2 linked regions of the Caenorhabditis elegans genome follow. The protein of the gene in region 1 interacts with the protein of each later gene in a pairwise test. Each region holds a gene or a part of one and is shown in the gene's direction. Other genes may lie near its edges.

Region 1 (3,754 bases):
AGACTTGGAGTTGATCCACCATGTGGAGTTCTCGACCCAAAGGAAGCTGTGCTGTTGGCTGTTTCGTGTGATGCATTCGCATTTGGACAGGAAGACACCAACAACGACCGTATCACCGTCGAATGGACTAACACTCCGGATGGAGCTGCCAAGCAGTTCCGCCGCGAGTGGTTCCAGGGAGATGGTATGGTTCGCCGCAAGAATCTGCCAATCGAATACAACCCATAGGTTCCTTGTAAAATAAATATTGTTTAATGCCTGTGTTGTTTCTTTCTGTAAATTGAATATATATACACTTGTCGCTTATCCTCTAGATCAGCTGGCTTCGTCGCTTCGTTGTTTCTACAGATATTTCTTGCAAGAATCTTCCGATCGAATACAACCCATAGAACTTCTAAATAATTTTTTTCCTGATTCACTGGTTGCTGATTTTATAATTTGAAAAATAATATTGTCTACCATGTTTCCAAATTTCAAAATATGATATTGTGATATACGAACTTTCTTTGAATACTTTGTTACAGAACTTCCTCGCATGTATCATTTTGAGAAGAAGTTGTATGTTCGAGAGCCGTTTCTAGAGAACTAACAGAACGAATTTTTTAGATTTCAGAATTATCAACAAGATCATATGCAATGCCTTGAATTCATAGATAAGAGATGATGAAAGATGGAGCTGACTGCATTTGAAAGAACTTTCATTTTATCTATCTAACAATCTAACAATTATTAATAAACAATTATTCATTTTCATTGTTGTGTTTATCATTCGATTACTCGGAAAACATTTTTATTGCTCAAAATATATATTTTTCTAGCTAACTGGAGTAGTTTCAAAATTGCCATTCGGTTCAGGATAGGCGGTTTCAGGCTTACTTTTGTTTAATTAGTCCCAGGTCTTCGAAACTCAATGTTTTATTGTGTCCTGTGTTTCCCTTGATTTTCACTAAATTAATTCTGGGGACATGAGAAGGTAATCTTGGAAAATTGAAATAAACTACAGTACTCCTCAAAGACACGATTTTAAATTCAAAAAAATCAGTCGTGTCGAGACCCGGTACCGTATTTTGGGTGTTAAAATCGGAAAATTTCGCCAATGGGGATACGATAATTTGAGTTTTATATTCAAATTAGATGTATGATATAGGAAAACATTCCACTAACGGGTGTATTTGATTTATTTTGCTTGTATTTACAAATAATATATTTCGAATGCTCGCCTGTTTCTTGATATTGTCCTCGTGTTGTTCACGGCCGAAGTTTTTCACAATTATCAATAGAGCGCTTCTGAAAACTCGTCCGCGACAGTGAAAATTTTAATTTTCAGAATTAATTGTTTTTAATTTAACGATTTTAATTAATTCTCTCATTTACTGTTGCAAGATTTTTTAATGCTATCTGTTGAATATTTAATTTTATCACTATTTTCAATAATTACGATGTAGACGCTTTATTTGCAATATATATTGCAAACAATATTACAATATATATTGCAAACAATATTGCATTATACGCAGATTATTTTCTCCCGTTTTGACAGAATAAAATTAACTTGACAATGTGTGTGTAAACACAGTGACGACAAACTGCGACAATGAGTCATTCAGGTTTAGTCTTTTGCGAATTAGTTTATTTATAATAATTATATATTATAGGGTTATTGGGATATTTTTTTATCTCACCGTTAATGAAAAATGTTAAATATATTCCTGTTTCAAAAATTGGCTACAATTTAAATCAATATATTTGTTTTGTAATCATTATCATAGAGGGCCGGGACTCTTCCCACTGAAACTCAATACTTTTGCATATTTCACATTCTCTTCCTCCGTTGGTTCACCAAAAGAGAAAAGGGACCGACATGAAAAGGAAACGAAAGCTTAAAAGAGACGGAAAATCGATGTACTAGAGTGCTCGGAAGTAGTTGAGAGGCGCAGAGAGAGAGCTTTCATTCAGAAGACACACGACGTTATTCCTCGCAACGCCTTCTTCTTTTTAACAATCTTCAATACATTTTAGTGAACTTTCTTTTATTTCTGTTTCATTTAAAAATAGTCTTAAATTTCACTATATTTAATTTTTTTCTTTTATTATCTGGAATGTTTCAGCTTTCAACATGGATGATTCATACGCGATAGCTACACCGCACAATGATGTTTTTAATCACGCATTCGCAGAGGTAAATATTTAACAATTTGTAATACGTTAACAATTGTTATATTCCAGATGAACCCTCACGGAGCACCAAGAATAGGAGCTGCAGAAGCAGCTACTTTCCTTAAAAAATCAAACTTGGCGATGCCTGTGTTAGGCCAGATATGGGAGCTTAGCGACTCTCAAAAAGTTGGATCATTAGATAAGAGAGGAGCATTTGTTGCTTTTAAACTAGTCGCAGCTGCTCAACAAGGTAACTTTTATTACCTATTTGGAATCATATTTTGTTGAAAATACGATATGCTCAAAAGTAACCTTAACAGCAAAATATTTCAGGGAAGCCCGTCGCCAATTCTTCCCTCTACGATTCTTCCCTTCAGCCACCACGGTTTGCACCACCTGTACCACCAGCAAACATGCAGCATCATTTCCAACCATCGTTCCCATCGGTTTGACTGAAAAGTGGTTCCTCTATTTCTAAGTGTTATTATTCAGGTTGGCCGTGCTCCTCCAGTGCCACCACCACCACATCCATCACATCCTTATTCGATCTCTTCTCAACAATCTTCTCCAGCTCATCCATCGTCAGCTTTTCCACCACAATGGCCGATAACACCAACTGACCAGGTAGCAAAAACTGAGAATTAAAAACTTTTAAAAAATCTTTCTATTGGCACGAATAGAGAATTGACAGTTATTTTCCTTTACAGATTTGATCAAATATTCTTGTAATTATTTCAGGCTAAATATGACTCCATCTTCCAATCATTGAATCCTGTAAACGGAAAATTGTCTGGTGCACACGTACGCCCGGTTCTGATGAACTCTGGACTTGATGCTCATGCTCTGGCTCGAATTTGGGAACTTTCGGATCAGGACAAAGATGGAAACCTTGATCGAATCGAAATGTCTGTTGCACTTCATCTTGTATACCGATCACTTCAATCAGACCCGGTTCCTGCACAGCTCCCACCAAATCTCATTCATCCTTCGAAAGCAATGTATGCTCACAGCTCACCGAATTTCGCTGCTCCTCCACATCCTCCACGTCCGATGATGGGATCGAGAGCAGGATCTGTGACGTCATTGGATGATGTGAACATGAGTCAATCGTATTCTGCAACGATGCCACGTGCATATCCACCACAACCAGGTCGTGCTTACTCTGCACAGGCTCATGTGAATGGATCACGAACCAGTGGTGCATCAACTCCGATATCTGCTTCTCACTCGATTCACTCATTTCCTGCTGGTGAATGGCCTATCAATACAGGAGATTATGCTGATCAATTTGCTCAAACTGATACGAATAAGGATGGATTGGTTGATGGCATGGATATGAGAGCTCCCATGATGACTACTGGATTGAGTGCACAGATATTAGCACATGTCTGGGCATTAGCAGATATAAAAAAATGTGGACAGTTGAATTTGGAGCAATTTGCTTTGACGTAAGTCTTTCAAGTTTACCAAATATCTAGTGTAACTAAATATTAATTTTCAGAATGCATCTTCTTGACATGGCAAAACGAGGCGAGTCCATCCCATCAGAACTGCCTTTACATCTGATTCCACCTTCATTCCGCCCACCTACGGAACC
Region 2 (3,754 bases), on another chromosome or scaffold:
AATGATGAGCCATTCATTCATCCTTTATAAACAGTTACTGAGATGCTGCAAACTGCATAAGCTCTTTTTCCTGAATGTACTTTGTCTCTATCACCTCTTATCTTTTTATTTTTTTTTCGAACTGCACGGCATGTGACAAGACTTTGACAGTGTGAAAATGAAACGTTTTTTCTATTGCATTTTTGTTGCTGCTCCCCAACTCTTTTTCATCTTATCGGACCACTTCATCTTCAGGTCTCGCGCACTTTGTGACGTAGATTGATGAAGGTCCTCACGTCGTTGTCCCATCGTCTCTGGCAGATGTTTCATAATCGAGGATGGCTTAGTTGAGATTTCTTCCATTTCACTAATGGTTTTGATTTTTCCCCGCGCAGCATCATTCAAAAAACACCTGATCTTTCACTACAAAATGAAATAACCGACTCGTTCGTTTCAACTTTGTTACTACTTTTTTCTATCTTTTTCTGCTTTTCATTCTCTTCAATTTTTCGCGGTCCCATCTCTTCCGCTTGTGACGTCGTCAACTTCTTCTTCTTCCCCTACTTCTTCCTCCGTCGCCGCTGTCGTCGTTTTTCTTTCCTCTTCATAATCGCTTTCCGTCGACCACTCGAATATTCTGACGTTCGCCGTGCCGCGACTCATCCGTTCGTTTCTATGATTCGAATTTTTTGAGAAAAACTAGAAAGCGTTGATATTGTCAAGTGTTTCGTTTTAGGATATATTCTAAAGACGAAAGGACGGATGCAAGTGTGTGTATGTATTTGTGCCATTGCAATGACGAGAGCGGAGCAAAGAAAATGACGAAGAAGAAGAAGCAGTCCTTCTCTTCGCTCATTCTTCTACTGCTCGTTCTTCCCATATATACTCATTCCCCCCGGAGAATTGTTCTTTTCCGCATTGCTGCTTCCCGTTGCCGCTGTCGTCGTCCGCCTTTCCTTTCGATTCGAATCGGATCGACAAGTTCCAGACGGCAAGAGTCATCCCTTCCATCCATAAACGCCATCACTGTCGTCGTCGTCGTCGCCTTCTTCTTTGAAAAAATGAGAAAAGCTAGAAAAAATGACGAATTGTGTTGGAGTCCTCGTCCTTCTCCTCTGCCTCTCCTTCTTTGGCGATGGCACACAACAGCATGGCCACAACACAAATAACGCGATAACTTTGTTTCGGCTCCTATACAAATTTGGTTATTTTTGTTGGTCGCTCCAACATTTTTTTCGTCCTCATCCGAGCCATGACTTCTCTTCTCCTTTTCCTCTATTTCGTCTCAAACTTCCGTTCTTTTTTACCTAATCATCATTATTAGCCCCATCCTTATCATCTTCTGGAACCCACATCGTCATCTTCGGTTTCTTTCTTTTTGAGGCACAAGCAACAACTACTTTTCTCGCATCTTCTCTCCTCCAGCTTCTCTTCTTTATGAGCCGGGTTAGGGGCTCTTCGAAAATTGTTTCCACTCGGCTGCCTTCGTGTTTTCGACGTGCCCGAACTTGCTCAAAACCGAAGCTCACGCATCGTTAGGTAACGAAAGAATTACACGTAGGAGGGACGCACTGCCGTTTGATTCTTATCTGTCATCGTCAGGATTGTTGCAACCTCTTCAATCCTCCGGATGTGCGTTGATTCCCGCACGATTAGACAATTTGTTGTGAAGGTGTACGCTATGTTTTGTCGTAAAATAGGTCACACTTGGAAGTTTTATTTTGGCAGCTTCATAATTATTCTAATTTATGATGTGATGGATTTTCTTTTTATATTTCATTTATCTGATTACCTTTCTCATTTTCCATATCAATTCTTGCTCGGTTCATCAGCTAATTCCATTGGTAGTGTCAGAATTCATGTAGCAGATAGATAGATACTCATAGATATTCCTTCGTCGCCTCAAGTATCAAGTTTCTTGCTTCTTTTTCTTCTTCTTCTTCTCTTCGCTTGTCCATATCCCCCGCGAGTTCTTCTTTCCTTTTCTTTTAATTGTTTACTTCTTCTCCTCATTCTACTCATCTTTTCCTTCATGTTTCAGAAAAAATTGTGGTATTTTGAGACAATTTTTTCTTTTCATTTCTCTATGTTTGCCTATCACTGAGGCTTTTTCTCTTGAAAATCTCTGCAAATCATTCCAATCAAAAATAATTTCAGGACACCTTGTCCAGTAGACAAAACCCGTCTACTTAGGACTCTGCGCTCATCACAAATGGTGTTACGGGCGCTCGAGTTTTCGGACTCGATATCCGATTCTCCGTGGTTTCGACAAAATTTGCATGATCACGAAGTGGCACTGGACGACGCTTTCAAGAACATCAAGCTCATTGAGAATCAGTGCAAGGAGCTGATTGCGTGCACAAAAAGTATGTGGCTTTTCTCTCTTTTTGACCCTTTACTTTTCCATTTAATCGCGTGGAATTTATAATTATTTTTATTGCAGAGCTTTCAACAGCACAACGAGCATTCGCAAAGACGTTAAGTGAATTCAAGTTTGAAACAGTCGGAACAAATCAGACAGATGATGAACGGTTTATTGGTGAGACTTTTGTTTAGCAAAAATTTATATAAAAAAATACGCGATGTTAAAAAAAAAAGTACAAAACATTTTTATTTTAAAAAAATTTCGCAGTAAAAAAATTAATTTCGGAATTTTATTATCCAGCCAAGAAAAATCGAAATTTGCTGAAAACATGTTTTTAAATGTTTTAAAATTATTAAATTTCAATTTTTTTTAATTTACCATAGTTAAAAAAAAATTTTAAACATTTTTAGGAATAGCAAAAAAGAGTATTTTGCCGTAGCAACCGTTCATTTTTGCCAAATTTTTCAAAGTCATATTTTTTACAATAAAAAAATAGTGTTGAACTCTCTTTTAAAATTTTTTTAATTGTCTCGAATTTCAATATTCCAACAAAGACCTTCGAAATCTGAATTGTTCGTGAAATTTTGAAATTTTTATAAGTTTCCTTCAATAAAAAAATTCGTTTCAGTTTTTTCTCCCAAAAAATCTATCGAAAGTTAACAAAATCCAAATTGCAAGTGATTCTCATTGTAATTTACCAAAATGCTTAATTTTCATAAATATTTTTATTGTCTTTGAAATAATATTTCACATTTTCAGCCACATGTCTAAAAGAATTCGGAAGTCTGATCAATCAAGTCGAAGATGAACGAATGAAACTTGTTGGACAAGCTGAAGAAAGTTATTTGGAACCAATAAAAAAGTTTCGAACTGAGGCGATTGGTAGAACATTGAAAGAGGAAAAGAATAAATATGACAAAGAAAGTAGCAAGTTCTATCAAACACTTGAAAAACATCTTCATCTGAGTACTGTTCGTAATAACGATTTTCGAGCCGCTGATGCCCAATTGGAGACTCAACAGAAAAACTTTTTTCAAGCTTCGTTACAGGTTTGAGTTTATAAAGTTGTCTTCAAATTATAAAATTGGAAAAAATTTGTGTTTTAATTTTCAGAATTAATGAAATTTTGGCCATTTTCTATTTTTAGACTAAAATTTCTTTCTAAATTTTTTTTTGGAAAATCGAAGGAATTTTGGTTTTTCGAATTAAAAAAAATCAACAAAAAAAATTTTTTTTCTGAAATATTGCGAATTTAAAATTTCTTTCAAAAAAAAAAAAACTTTCTGCCTTTTCAGAATTTAAAAAAATCAAAAGTTTTCGTTTTTAGTTTTTCTAAATAGTGTAATTCAAGTTTTTAAGAATTTGCCGTTGGAAATAGTACAATATAAATTGCTATTTTCAGTTAAAAAG

What was found.
Region 2: the proteins of ehs-1 (region 1) and T04C9.1 interact in a two-hybrid assay, tested with the Caenorhabditis elegans proteins (2 studies listed by BioGRID).

The regions. Positions count from the first base shown.
Region 1 is NC_003280.10:5,818,604-5,822,357, forward strand, and holds the start of ehs-1 (Eps15 (endocytosis protein) Homologous Sequence), read left to right. Parts: upstream 1-2,108; 5' UTR 2,109-2,116; coding exon 2,117-2,179; intron 2,180-2,226; coding exon 2,227-2,407; intron 2,408-2,490; coding exon 2,491-2,603; intron 2,604-2,649; coding exon 2,650-2,781; intron 2,782-2,895; coding exon 2,896-3,605; intron 3,606-3,658; coding exon 3,659-3,754. Other genes in the region: ZK1248.4 (MSP domain-containing protein), read left to right, coding at 1-228.
Region 2 is NC_003281.10:5,991,083-5,994,836, forward strand, and holds the start of T04C9.1 (Rho GTPase-activating protein 26), read left to right. Parts: upstream 1-2,136; 5' UTR 2,137-2,191; coding exon 2,192-2,345; intron 2,346-2,422; coding exon 2,423-2,518; intron 2,519-3,103; coding exon 3,104-3,393; intron 3,394-3,754. Other genes in the region: T04C9.2 (uncharacterized protein), read left to right, coding at 798-1,148.